Linked DNA regions of Anolis sagrei. Each later gene encodes a partner of the first gene's protein in a complex. Links are inferred from orthologs where the notes say so. Each region holds a gene or a part of one and is shown in the gene's direction. Other genes may lie near its edges.

Region 1 (7,283 bases):
ATCTTTGTTCTTCCTTGTGCTTTTAGCATAATTATTCAGTTTAGTCCATATATGCACATACTTCTTGCATGTATTGTTGTTCATTACTGCTACCAAGTTGATTTTGGCTTATGGTGAACCTATGAATGAGAGATCTCCAAGCCATCCTATCATCAAAAGACATGATCAGGCCTTGCAAACTCGGGGCCATGGCTTCCTTAATTGATGAGTCCAATTCATCTGGAATGTAGCCTCCGTCTTTTCCTACTGCCTTCCACTTTAGCATTATCCTCTTTTCCAATGAGTCATATCTTCTCATGGTATGACTACAGCACAACAGTGGTTGAGTCATTCCTGCAAGTATTCCGGCTTCATTTGTTTTTGTATTCGCCCCCCCCCCCCCGCCCCCGCTTTCCTTCTCTGTCCCCTGCTCTCTCTTTCTATCCAAAACATTCCCTCCATCACATTTCAGCTGAGCTTATTCTCACCCTACATGTTAAGCATCCCTTATCCAAATCCCAAAATCCAAAGTACTCCAAAAATATGAGTGGCTGAGATAGGGACACGTTTTGCTCTCTGATGGTTCAGTGTGCATAAACTTTGTTTCAGGCACACACACAAAAATTCTGTACAAAACTACTTCCATGCTATGTGTAGAAAACATATACAAAACATAAACGAAGAGTCACTTTATGTACTTATACTAATAAAGCAGACTCTCAGGCCTCTTCCACACAGTTGAATAAAACCTCCCATTTTCTGCTTTGAACTGGAATATATGGCAGTGTGAACTCAGATAACCCAGTTCAAAGCAGAAAATATGGGATTTTCTACCTCGATATTCTGGGTTATATGGGTGTGTGGAAGGGCCCTTAGTTATCCGGCATCCATGAAGATTGGTAGATGCTGGATAATTGTTTATTTTTATTTCTTTATTTTAGTTTCTGGTTGCTTAAGAGTTACTATTAAAAATAGACCTAATCAATTGCATACTATAGTAAAGGTATAGGTTTCCCCTGACATTAAGTCTAGTTCTGACTGACTCTGGGGGGTGGTGCTCATCTCCATTTCTAAGCCAAAAAGCTGCTGTTGCCCGTCGACCCCTCCAAAGTCATGTGGACAGCATGAGCACCATTACCTTCCCACCAAAACAGTACCTATTGATCTACCCAAATTTGCATATTTTCAAACTGCTAGGTTGGCAGAAGCTGGGGCTAACAGCGGAAGCTCACCCCGCTCCCTGGATTCAAACCGCTAACCTTTCAGTCAGCAAGTTCAGCAGCTCAGCGGTTTAACCCACTGCACCACCAGGGGGCCATACTATACTATATCAGTAAAAAGTAAATAATTATAGACTTGATTTAATGTAACATATCGGCTAAAATTGATTTAAATTTTAAAGTATTATTTCTTTGGTTATTTTGCCAGTGGCTTAAGAGTTCTGATTGCTTGAGGGCCCTTCTACACTGCCCCTCTATCCCAGGATCTAATCTTTCAGGGCCATAATAATAATAATAATAATAATAATAAACCTTTATTTATACCCCGCTACCATCTTCTGAAGGACTCGGTGCGGCTTACAAGAGGCTGAGCCCAAATACATCAGTAAAAACAGCAACAACAGCAATATAGACAATACATAAACTCATAAACAAAGCATTAAACAGTAACAATAACACCACGACGCATTAAAAACCTATGGCAGGGCCAAATGTAATAATTAAATTTTTTAAAAAATGCTGGGCATGACAAGGTGACATATAACTAGGATAGGTATTTGGAGAGAGATGGAGCGAGTAGACAATCCTGGATCATTAGTAAAGTGCGATTAGGGACATGTTGCTTAGGGTTTCCTTATTCTGGGAATGCACGCTGGAAGAACCATGTTTTCAGGCTCCTCTTAAAGATTGCCAGAGTTGGGGCGTGCCTAATGTCCTTGGGGAGCGAGTTCCAGAGTCGAGGGGCCATCACCGAGAAGGCCCTGTCTCTCGTCCCCACCAATCGCACTTGCGATGAAGGTGGGATCGTAAGTAGGGCCTCTCCAGATGAATGAAGAGATCGTGTGGGTTCGTACACAGAGATGTGGTCACGCCATCTGTCAAGGGTGCTTTGAATGCAATATTCCTGCTTCTTTGCAGGGGGTTGGACTGGATGGCCCATGAGGTCTCTTCCAACTCTGTGATTCTAATCCCAGATTATATTTATCCCAGGTTATCAGGTAGTGGGGACTCCTATATTCCAGTTTAAAGCAGATAATCTGGGATCAGATCCTGGGATAAAGGGCAGTGTGGAAGAGCTCGAAGAGTCTACTGTATCCATTACATTTGCCCGGCCTAGTTTTTGTTGTATCACAGTGTGTTGTTTTATTGTTTACTGTTATTGCTTTAAAAGTTTTTGATTTGCTTTGGTTTATATGTAATTGTTATATTGTTGTTTTATTGTGGCCTTGGCCTTTGTAAGCCGCATCGAGTCCTTCAGGAGATGCTAGCGGGGTACAAATAAAGTTAATAAATAAATAATAATATACCAATACTAGTATTCGATTTTGAGGCAGAATATAATACAGTTACAATAAATAGATTGTATACATCAAACCCTTAGAACACATATACTATTTTTATTTTTATTTCTCGTGTCAGGGCAGCCAGTCAATTATATTACATTTCTAACAGAACAAAGCAAACAAACAGAGAAAATACAAAATGTGTGAGTTTGGTAGTTGATTAAATGTCCTTTGACCAGTATCTGGCCACTTGGAGTGCTTCTGGTGTTGCTGCAAGAAGGTCCTCCATTGTGCATGTGGCTGGGCTCAGGGTGCATTGCAGCAGGTGGTCAGTGGTTTGCTCCTCTCCGCATTCGCATGTCGAGGATTCCACTTTGTAGCCCTATTTCTGAAGGTTGGCTCTGCATTTTGTGGTGCCAGAGCACAGTCTGTTCAGCGCCTTCCAAGTCGCCCAGTCCTCTGTGTGCCCAGGGGGGAGTCTCTCATTTGGTATCAGCCATTGGTTGAGGTTCTGGGTTTGAGCCTGCCACTTTTGGACTCTCGCTTGCTGAGGTTTTCCAGCGAGTGTCTGTGTAGATCTTAGAAAACCAAACAGGGGATGAGCTGGAGATGTCTCTGCCTTGGTCCTTTCACTATTGGCTGCTACTTCCCGGCGGATGTCAGGTGGTGCAATACCGGCTAAGCAGTGTAATTTCTCCAGTGGTGTAGGGCGCAGACACCCCGTGTTAATGTGGCATGTCTCATTAAGAGCCACATCCACTGTTTTAGTGTGGTGAGATGTGTTCCACACTGGGCATGCATACTCAGCAGCGGAGTAGCACAGCGCAAGGGCAGATGTCTTCACTGTATCTGGTTGTGATCCCCAGGTTGTGCCAGTCAGCTTTCATATGATATTGTTTCTAGCACCCACCTTTTGCTTGATGTTCAGGCAGTGCTTTTGTAGGTAAGAGCACGGGCCAAAGTGACTCCCAGGTATTTGGGTGTGCTGCAATGCTCCAGTGGGATTCCTTCCCAGGTAATCCTCAGAGCTCGGGATGCTTGTCTGTTCTTAAGGTGAAAGGAGCATGTCTGTGTTTTAGATGGATTAGGGATCAGTTGGTTTTCCCTGCAATAGGCAGTAAGAGCACCTAGAGCTTCGGAAAGCTTCTGTTCTACCATCTCAAAGCTTGAGCAGTAATGGCACGATCATCAGCATAGATGAAATACATATACTAAAAGGCATAGATATAAGATTGAAACCCATTCAAATACAGTGCAGATGAGGCATGAGCCAACTTGGGCCCTCAAGGTGTTTTTGGACTTCAACTCTCACCATTCCTAACAGGAATTGTGGGAGTTAAAGTCCAAAACACCTGCAGAGAGGACCAAAGTTGACCCAGGCATTTCAGCATACGAGCTTTCCCATTGGCTCCCGCCCCCAAAGTATGAGAGAGAGCTCCCTCCCTCCTTTCCGGAGCGGATGACGCATGCAGCTCGGGCGTCTCCTATTGGACGAACGCTCTGTTTGGGAAGCGGTGGGAGGAGGGGACGAGGGGGGAACAGCGGCAGCGGCAGCGCCCCCTCATCCCGCCCTCTCTGCCTCTCTCCCAGAAACATGGAGTGACACGTGAAGCTTATGCAATGTGAGTGACGTCCGCCGCGGCCAATAGGAGCCTCGGGACCGGCGCCGCCCGTCCCGCCCCTTCTTCCGAGGCGGCCAATCGGCGCCCGTTCTAGCGCTTCCCTCAGGCACGATCACGTTGCGGAGGGTATGAGGCCGGGGCCGGCGGCGCTGAAGGAGCTCGGCTTGGGAAGGAAAGGCAAGGAGGGGGCTCCCTCCGAGGGGCGGGGGTCGGCCTCGGCGCGAGAGGGGCGCTTCCGGCCAAGACCACCCGCCGCGCCGTCCCTTCGCGCCGAGGCTGAGGCGGAGGGAAACCGAGGCGGTGGTTGTGTAACGCGAGGCTCCCGTCAGTCAGTCGGTCCTCCTCGACGTCGCCTCTGCTGCGGGCGAGGGGCTCCCTCGGGGTTAGTAGGTAAGTAGGCCTCCGAAGGGGAAGGGGAAAGGGGAAGGGAGGGTGGGCTGGGAATCAGGGGAAGCGCCTCGCTGATAGAGCGCGATGAAGCCTGGCAGGGTCCTGTGTGTGGAAAGCGTCCTGGGAGTCTCAGGCTGGAGGCTCGTTTAAAGGGCACTTCAGAATTTGGAACTTTTTCTCAATCCATTGTGTTGTTTTTGTTGTTATTCAGATGGCCAATATAAAAGGGGTGTGTATAAAGAGTGTGTGTGCTGTGTAAAATACATGCAAATAGGATATACTGTATGTATCCTATATACATTCTCAATCCATTGTGTTGTTGTTATTCAGATGACCAATATAAAAGGGGTGTGTATAAAGAGTGTGTGTGCTGTGCAAAATATAAGCAAATGGGATATACTGTGTATATATATATATATATATATATATCTCCTATATACATGTATAATATGTATATATGATACCTATATATATATATATATATATGCATACTATGCCAGTATATAGAATATGCGTGTGCGTGTGTATATTTGTGTTTATGTATAAAATACATGTACATAAGATATATATATATATATATATATATCCTATATACATGTGTGTATATATATGTATATCCACACACACACACACACACACATATATGTATATATGATACCTATATATGTATATTATGCATATTATGCAGTATATAGAATATGCGTGTGGGTGTGTATATTTGTGTTTATGTATAAAATACATGTAAATAAGATATATATATATATCCTATATACATGTGTGTATATATATGTATATCCACAATATGCGTATATATAATACCTATATGTATATTTGACATATTATGCCAGTATATAGGATATGCATGTGGGTGTGTATATTTGTGTTTATGTATAAAATACATGTAAATAAGATATATATATTTATATAGATTCTATATACATGTGTGTATATAATACCTATATATGTATATTTGACATATTATGCCAGTATATAGGATATGCATGTGCGTGTGTATATTTGTGTTTATGTATAAAATACATGTAAATAAGATATATATATATATATCTGTATACATGCTTGTATATATAATACCTATATATGTATATTTGACATATTATGCCAGTATATAGGATATGCATGTGTGTGTGTGTATATATATATTTGTGTTTATGTATAAAACACATGTAAACATTTTAATATATATATATCCTATTTACGTGTGTGTGTGTATATATATATATATATATATATCCACAATATGTGTATATATAATACCTATATATGTATATTTGACATGTTATGCCAGTATATAGGATATGTGTGTGTGTATATTTGTGTTTATGTAAATTATATATATATATATATATATTCTATATACATGTGTGTATGTATATGTATATCTGAAATATGTGTATATATAATGCCTATATATGTATATTTGACATATTATGCCAGTATATAGGATATGTGTGTATAATGTATAAAATATATGCAAATAGGATATATATCTCCTATATACATATATATATATATGTTTATATGAAATAACGGCATGTGTCTATTATACATATTATGCCAGTATATAGGAAGTCTGTGTGTATAATTTATAATACATGCAAATAGGATATATATCTCGGTTCTTGTGGGTTTTTTCGGGCTATATGGCCATGTTCCATGCATCTATGGCAAGCATCTTCAGAGGTGAGGTCTGCTGGAGCTGGGAAAAAAGGGGTTTATATATCTGTGGAATGACCAGGGTAAGACAAAGGGCTTTTGTAAGTTGGGCTAGGTGTGACTCTTTCAACTGACCACCTTGATTAGCATACAATGGGCTGACTGTGCCTGGAGCAAACTCTTCTTGAAGGGTGATTAGATGTCCCTGCCTGTTTTTCTCTCTGCTGTTTTTGCTGTTGCAATTTTAGAATTTTAGAATATATATATTAGGATATATATCGCCTATATACATATATGTTATATATGTATGCATAGCTGCAATTATATGAAATACCTGTATGTGTCTATTATACATATTATGCCAGTATATAGGAAATGTGTGTGTATAATGTATAAAATACATGCAAATAGGATATTTATATATATAACCTGTATACATGTATATTATATATGTATGTATGTATATCTGCAATATGTATATATGAAATACTTGTGTGTATATATTATAATGTTATGCCAGTATATAGGATATGTGTGTATATGTATATATAATGTATATATAATGTATAAAATACATGTAAATAGGAGATATACAGTATGTATATCCCATATACCTAATATGTGTATATATAATAACTATATATGTATATTATAGATATTGTGCCAGTATATAGAAGGTGTATATGTATATATTTTTAATACTTTAATTTTCTGCTTCTCCTCGCGGCTCAAGGCAGGTTACAGAATAATTAAACACATTGTAGAAATACTACATATTCACATATTAAAATGTATTTCTATAAAAGCTACATATTAAAACATTTTTTAATTAAATACATATTAAAATACACAAAACAGATTAAACACAAGACATGCATTTAAAATTTACGCTTAAAGACTGGTTATATTATACATATAAAATCTATATCTTAAATACGTATTTCCCCTTTCTCTCTCTCTAAATTATGCCACTAATTATATCAGTGGTATAAGTTATCCAAAATGCTATGGGTTAGAACTGCTTTAGATTTAGGGTGCATCAACACTACTGAATCGGTACAGTTTTACACCACTTTTACTGCCTTGGCTCAATGCCTTGAGATCCTAGGAATTGC
Region 2 (7,677 bases), on another chromosome or scaffold:
TTTATTTAGAGAGTTCTCTAGAATTTACTCCCAAGTAATAGCAAATCATTATTATTGTCTTTATTTCTATATCACTTTTTTCTCTTAAAGAGACTTAAAGTTGTAGCACTCCTGGAATTGTACAAAAAAGCCCTTATCATTTAATCAAGTTTATTTAAGAAATAAAAATCCAATTGCTTTCAGTGAGTTAACATTTATATAATTCTGGTTTGGACTGAGCCCAGATGCTCTTCTGCTTAATTTTCTCCTCCTTCTCCTTCCATGTGCACCTTCCTTTGTCGGCATAACAGAGGTATTACAGGATGTTATATGATGGCCATAACTAGCATTTAAAATGAGATTACATAAATGTATGATGGACAGACCTGCTGTTGGCTACATGCCAGTGCAAGATCTAAAAGCATCAGCAATATACCTGCGACGACGAGACACCCAGACTCAAAAGGAGATTATGTTCAGCTTTGCCCAGGCCTTTCCCAGAGTCGTATATGCAACTAGATAATATCTGCGTCTGAGCCCAAGGAATTCGTGGAGCTTAAGCACCCCTAAGCACATGATTGAGTGGTTGGTTCGCCTGTTATGGTGCAGTTCTTTTTCTCACCAGAACAGCATGTTTGGTGCCTCTTATAAAACTGGGTGATTTCATTGCTGTATGTACAGACATAGCGATTCCACTCCAATTAGCACTGCTTTTCACAGGGAGGTTACAGGAAGAAACTGACACAAATTGTGCGCACCACAAATGTTTGTTGTGAACTCAAGTTTTCTGAGAGATTTTGGCAGTTTTGAATTCTCTGAGGATTCAAGCCTAAGAATAAATTGCTGCAAATCCTTGATTTAGTTTAGAGAAGGCCATAATTAAGCAAAAAATAAAATAAGTGTTCTAGTATGCATAGCTATAACTTTGGGCATAAAGCTGTTGTTTCACAAAGTTAGTGTTTGTGTACATTTAGTTCTTTGCTTGATTCCCTTGTCAAATACATATCTCTTTACTTTTGGTGTGCACTTTATTCTAGTAATTGCCATTGGTTGCTCTTCCTGAATAATAACATTTTGCTTAAGCCTTTAGGTCACACATGGGCAAACATCGGCCCTCCAGATGTTTTGGATGACAACCCCCACAATTCCTAACAGCCTATCAGCTATTAGGAATTGTGGGAGTTGAAGTCCAAAATATCCGGAGGGACAAAGTTTGCCCATGCCTGCTTTAGGTCATGAGGGGCTCCTCAGCTCTTTGGAATTTAGGATAACTTGGAAGTTACTGGGATGTGAGGAGTTCTCTCGTGCAGGGCTGTTGTTATCTGCACTACAGAATTAATTTCTTTTTGTGCCAGAAGCGACTTGAGAAACTGCAAGTCGCTTCTGTTGTGAGAGAATTGGCTATCTGCAAGGACGTTGCCCAAGGAAGGCCCAGATGGTTGGTGCTTTACCATTCTGTGGGAGGCTTCTCTCGTATTCCCACATGAGAAGCTAGAGCTTGATAGATGGGAATTTGTCCCGCTCCCCGGATTCAAACCGCCAATGTATCAGTTGACCAGTCCTGCCGGCACAAGGGCTTAACGCATTGTGCCACCAGGAGCTCCTGCATAATCAATAATTAACTGCCATGGCTCCATGCTATGAGATCATAGGAACTGTAGTTTTCCAAGGTCTTTAGCTTTCTCTGCCAAACAATGCCGGTGCCTCACCAAACTCCAAAATCCCATGTTTTCCTAGCATTGAGCCATGGCAGTTAAATGTAGTATCAAATTCCATTAATTCTACAGAGCAGATGCACCCTAGGAGGTATTTTGCTGGATCTACAATGCCAAATAATGCGTATTGAACTGCATTATATAGCTAGTGTAGATGTATATAATGCAGTTCAAGCTAATTATGTACAACAGCAATATTTATTACGGTCCATAGACCCATCAGTGAGCAAACAAAGACTATGCCCCTATGAAAGAAATGAAGTAAAAACAATAGAATACATTTTATTGCTGTGCTGCAGCATTATGTGGGTCTATTCACACTGACTACATAACACAGTTCAAGCTGCATTATTTGGCATTGCACACCCAGTCTGGGTTTGTTAACACACAAGTGCAGAACTGCCATAATTGAAAATAATGGCTTGAAGTGCCATGGTTCAATGCCCTGAGTTGTAGATTTGGTGAGGCACCAGCATCAGAGTGGGAAAGCCCTAGCATTTGACAGAGAAAGAACAAAGAACTTGCCAAACTACAGCTCCATCGATTGAGCCGTGAAGTTCAAGCACCCATTCTACAGTGTAAGTCAGGCATGGGCAAACTTGGGCCCTCCCTCAAGGTTTTTTGGACTTCATCTCCCACAATTCCTAACAGCCAGTCATTAGGAATGGTGAGAGCTGAAGTCCAAAATATCTGGAGGGAGGGCCCAAGTTTGCCGATGCTTGAAGTAGGTGCTCCTGCAGCGATCCCGAGATGCACATTCTGGATGCGCATGGGGCACACACTGCGTCAGCCTTCGGATGTAAATATTAATGAATATTGGGCCCTCTGGTGGAGCAGTGGGTTAAACCACTGAGCTCCTGAACTTGCTGTCTGAAAGGTTGGTGGTTCGAATCCAGGGAGCAGGATGAGCTCCCACTGTTAGCCCCAGCTTCTGCCAACCTAGCAGTTCGAAAGCATGCAAATGTGAGTAGATCAATAGGTATCACCTTGGCAGGAAGGTGATACCTATTGATCATTGCAGTCATGCTGGCCACATGACCTTGGAGGTGTCTACAGACAATGCCAGCTCTTTGGCTTAGAAATTAAGATGAGCACCACCCCGCAGAATCAGTCCCGACTAGACTTAATGTCGGGGAAAACTTTTACCTTTATATATATACTAGCTTGGGATTATCTGCCCGGGTTATTTGAGAAAGGCATTGCTTGTCTGTGCTTCAAGTTTAATCTAGATACAATGTCAGCTGAGTTCAGTGGGTGCAGGTGAACTACAACTCATGGGGGCTCTGTGTGCCAAGTTTGGTTAAGGCCTTAATTTGTGGAGGTCATAGTGGGCTCAGGAATGATGAGGGTCGCAGTGTTCTGTGGAAGCCAAAGCAATTGAAATTGCTGCAAATCCTGTCATCCGTGGTCCATCCCCCCCTCAACAGCACCAGGACTTAAAGTGGGTCACGGGGGCTCTGTGTGCCAAGTTTGGTCGTTATCCATCAATGATGGGGATCGCAGTGTTCTGTGGGAGCCAAAGCGATTTAAATTACTGCAAATCCCATAATCCATGGTCCATTCTCCCCTAAACCGCACCAGGACTTAAAGTGGGTCATGCGGGTTCTGTGTGCCAAGTTTGGTCCAGGTCCATTATTCATGGGGGTTGCAGTGGCCAGTGGAAGTGGGAGCCAATCAGAAAGCAGTCACATAAACACATACAAACATTCATTTTTATTATAGACACTAGCTTGGGGATCCGACGGTGTCCGGGTTATTTGAGAAAGTCAGTGCGTGCCAAGGTTGGGCTTTATGAGTTATTTATGTGGCTCACAGTAGTCTCAGGAAGTGAGTGAAGGTACTGCGAGTCCCATTGTCCATGGTTCATCCTCCTCCAAACAGAACCAGGATGTAGAGTGGCTCATGGGGGCTCTGTGTACCAAGTTTGATCAGTCATTGGATGAGGGTTGCAGTGGTCTTGGAAAGTGAGTGAAGGTACTGCAAGTCCCATCCTCCATAGTCCATCCTCCCACAAACTGCACCAGAATGTTGAGTTGGCCATGGGGGCTCTCTGTGCCAAGTTTGGTCTTTATTGGTAATTTGATGAGTGTTGCTGTGGTCACAGGAAGTGAGTGAAGGTACGGCAAGTCCCAGCATCTGTGACCCATCCTCCTCCAAACTGCACCATGGTGTAGAGTGGATCATGGGGGCTCTGTGTGTCAAGTTTTGTCTTGATCGGTCATTACATGAAGGTTGTAGCGGTCTTGGGAAATGAGTAAATGAGTACTTCAAGTCCTATCACCCTCCTTGAGACTGCACCAGGATGTAAAGTGAGTCATGGGGGCTCTGTGTGCCAAATTAGGTTTTGATCAGTCATTGGATGAATGTGGCAGTAGTCTCAGGAAATGGGTGAAGGTACTGCACGTCCCATCATCCATTATCTGCACAAGGACGAAAAGTGGGGTCATGGGGGCTCTGTGTGCCAAGTTTGGACTTTCTCGGCCATTCAATGAGGGTTGCAGTGGACTCAGGAAGTGGGTGAAGGTACTGCAAGTCCCATCATCCATTATCTGCACCAGGATGAAGAGTGGGGTCATGGGGGCTCTGTGTGCCAAGTTTGGTCTTTCTCGGTCATTCGATGAGGGTTGCAGTGGACTCAGGAAGTGAGTGAAGGTATTGCAAGTCCCATCATCCGCGGTCCATCCTCCAAACTGCACCAGGATGTAGAGTGGGTCATGTGGGCTCTGTGTGCCAGGTTTGGACTTGATCAGTCTTTGTTGGGGGCCACAGTGGTCTGTGGGAACCGAAGGGTTTGAAAGTACTACAAATCCCATCATCCTTTGCAAGTTATATATCTATTGCGTAAGGCGCCAAGGATGGGGAGGCTCCCTTCCAATTGTTGAATAAGATCTCTGTCTCTCTCCCTGCCGCTCCTCCCTCTTTGCAAGTGTTTTGGAAGCTTTGGAAACCCCACCCACCCGTTGCTTTGCTCCAAGGCACACGTGCCGCGAGGGAGGGGGGAGCTCAGTGCGGTCACAGGCCACGCCCCCTTCTCCTCATTTCCCCCCTCCCTCTCCCCGAATCGCTGCTTACACGTCGCAGGAACGTGCCGAGGCTCCGGGGGCCCCTGGGCGCTGTCGGTGTTACGTAGCCCAGGCAGCCAATGGGCGTCGAGAGCGCGCGAGAGGAAGGGGCGTGGCTTTCCCCTTCTCCGACGGCCGGCAGCAACGCAACGCAGCGCAGCGCGAGGCTCGGTCGAGGCAAGAGGTGGGTTGCTGGCGCGCGACGAAGAAAGCGAGAGAAGCGCCTCGCGAAACTATGGCCACGCTCGCTGGGCCCTCGGGCCTCCCTCCTCCTCCTCCCCCGGGAAACGGCTGCTCGGTCCATTGGTTCCGCCGCGGGCTTCGGCTCCACGACAACCCGGCTCTGCAGGCAGCCATCCGCGACGGCGGCCCCGTGCGGTGCATCTATATCCTGGACCCCTGGTTTGCCGCCTCCTCCTCGGTGGGCATCAATCGCTGGCGGTGAGTGGATTAATTCGAGCCTGTGCAGCAGGCAAGGGCAAACTTTGGCCTTCCAGGTGCTTTGGACTCCAACTCCCACCATTCCTAACAGCCTCAGGCCCTTTCCTTTCCCCCCTCAGGCGCTTAAGCGGCTGAGGGGGGAAAGGAAGGGGCCTGAGGCTGTTAGGAATGGTGGGAGTTGGAGACCAAAACACCTGGAAGGCCAAAGTTTGCCCTTACCAGTTGGGCCTCCCCATACTACAAACCCCATCATTCCATAGCATGGCGCCAGGGCAGTTCAAGTGCTATCAAACTGTGCTAGTTCTACAGTGTAGGCACACCGCCTGTCTGTGGAAAGGGTAGAAGAAAATCCAGACAAGGCATTAAAAAAAAGGGCGTAGTGACTAATCCCCATAATAAACCGCCCTTGTTGACTGGCTCAGTCCTGGCTTCCTTATGGCAGTCTCTTTCGCTACTAGACTTGTAGATTTTGGTTTCCTAACATACCAGTTTAGGAATGACAGCCCAGAGGGTTAACATCAAGGACGTGTGAATGTGCCCTTTACCAAAGAAGTTTTACAATTCACACCTCCTGACAAAGGATTGTCCCCCCCAGTCAGGAAGCAGCCAGGCTTTGGAGCTGCAAGGCCATTCAGTGCTAAAACATGTAATATAATATATTGTATAGACATATAATATTTATAATATTATAATGTAGTGCAATGTAACACTAATGATAATAATATGATATTATAATTATATATTTATATTACATGTAATATTACTAATCATCTATATAAATAAAAATGTAATGTTAGTTTGTGGGATTAACATAACTCAAAAAACACTGGACGAATTGACACCAAATTTGGAAACAATATACCTATCAGGCCAACGAGTGACCATCACTCAAAAAAAAATACTGAAAAACACAGCAGGAGACTTAAAAAGCCAAAACATAAAAATACATTACAATGCATGCGCAAAACCACATATATACACAAATATACACACAGAAAACACATATACACAGACTGGGCCACAGCAACGCGTGGCAGGGGACAGCTAGTATTACAATATAATGGTGTAGTACAATATAGTAATATTTATTTATTTATTTACTATGTTTATATACCACCCCTCTCAGCCTTCTGGCAACTCGAGGCAGTTTACAAGGTAAAATTCAATGCCACAAATATATAATATATTGTACTATGCTAATAATATAATATATTGTATGTATGTATATATATATCTTGTAAGCCGCTCTGAGTCCCCTTTGGATGAGAAGGGCGGCATATAAATAAATAATCAAGGTGTCCAGTAGCAACATTGACACCTTCCTCCAACAGACAAGAGTTCTTTCTCCCATCCTGGACATTGTTCCACAGATATATAAACCCCACTTGCCTAGTTTCCAGCAAACCTCACAACCTCTGAGGATCCCTGCCATAGGTGTAGGTGAAATGTCAGGAGAGAATGCTTCTGGAACATGTGAATGCAGCGTTTACTAAATTGATGTTGTGTGCCTTTGAGTCAATTACGATTTTTGGGCAAAATTCGTTCAGAGGGCGTTTTGCTGGAAGGCTGTACCTTGCCCAAGAGTTTCCATGGCCAAGTGCATCTTTCAACCCGGATCTACAGAGCCATAACACTTTGTATCACAGTTGTTTCCCCCTGGATTATAAACATCATTTCCTAATTGGTTCCATCACAAAACCATGGGAAAAGTTTAGTAAACTTTAAACACATTGTTTTTGCAGGACATCCTGTAGCACGTTTTGCTATTGTTTTTCAATAAAGATCTGATAGAGTCTCAACCAATTCAGCACAGGGTTGCTGTGAGTTTTCCGGGCTGTACGGCCGTCTTCCATAAGCATTCTCTCCTGACATTTCACCCACATCTATGGCAGGTATCCTCAGAGGTTGTGAGGTCTGTTGGAAACTAGGCAAGCGTACCCCTCAACCTCTGAGGATGCCTGCCATAGATGTGGGAGAAATGTCAGGAGAGAATGCTTCCGGAACATGGCCATACAGCCCGGAAAACTCACAGCAACTCAGTTATTCCGGCCATGAAAGGCTACGACAACACAATTCTGCATAGTTTGTGACAGCCACAAAGTGTGGCATAATTAAACAGGAGTATGTGAGCAAAATGGAGCAGAAGCCACAGGCAAACTATATGAAACATGTGAAGAGATCCGCACCTGCTTCATGTATCATTTCTGGCAAGTTAGTGACACATGATGTCACTAATGTCCCTGTCAAATAGAAGGTAGTGGTGTTATGTTCACTTCAGAGGTTTGCATTCCATTCTGGCCTAAAGAATTTGGATTTCAGAGAGTAAACTTTACAGGATGCAAAGCATCTGTTTTTGTGCCAGACGGCATTTTTGTTACTTTCCAGTTCTGCGTAGTGCATACCAGGATTTGCAGATTGCACATGGCAGTATAATGTATTCTGCTCCATGGAAAGGCAAAGGATCTGCAGTTATGGAAAGC

Evidence for each region. The genes of interacting proteins can lie anywhere in the genome.
Region 2: the proteins of PER2 (region 1) and CRY2 are in contact, whole or in part, in a crystal structure (PDB 4U8H), measured with the Mus musculus proteins. The link is inferred for Anolis sagrei from reciprocal best matches to the Homo sapiens genes PER2 and CRY2. Residues at the interface, in NP_035196.2 of Mus musculus: Tyr1132, Leu1134, Gln1135, Asp1136, Pro1137, Trp1139, Leu1140, Met1142, Ala1143, Asn1144, Thr1145, Ile1149, Met1150, Met1151, Thr1152, Tyr1153, Gln1154, Leu1155, Arg1158, Asp1159, Leu1160, Val1163, Leu1164, Asp1167, Gln1168, Lys1170, Leu1171, Leu1174, Gln1175, Ser1177; in NP_034093.1 of Mus musculus: Trp58, Ser63, Ser64, Val65, Lys163, Leu166, Thr167, Lys169, Arg170, Glu215, Leu216, Gly217, Phe218, Asn330, Pro331, Ile332, Cys333, Ile334, Gln335, Ile336, Pro337, Asp339, Asn341, Pro342, Glu343, Leu345, Ala346, Lys347, Ala349, Glu350.

Annotation. Positions count from the first base shown.
Region 1 is NC_090023.1:229,098,218-229,105,500, reverse strand, and holds the start of PER2 (period circadian protein homolog 2), read left to right. Parts: upstream 1-4,183; 5' UTR 4,184-4,494; intron 4,495-7,283. UniProt on the Homo sapiens protein: Transcriptional repressor which forms a core component of the circadian clock.
Region 2 is NC_090021.1:277,807,300-277,814,976, forward strand, and holds the start of CRY2 (cryptochrome-2), read left to right. Parts: upstream 1-4,663; 5' UTR 4,664-4,991; coding exon 4,992-5,197; intron 5,198-7,677. UniProt on the Homo sapiens protein: Transcriptional repressor which forms a core component of the circadian clock.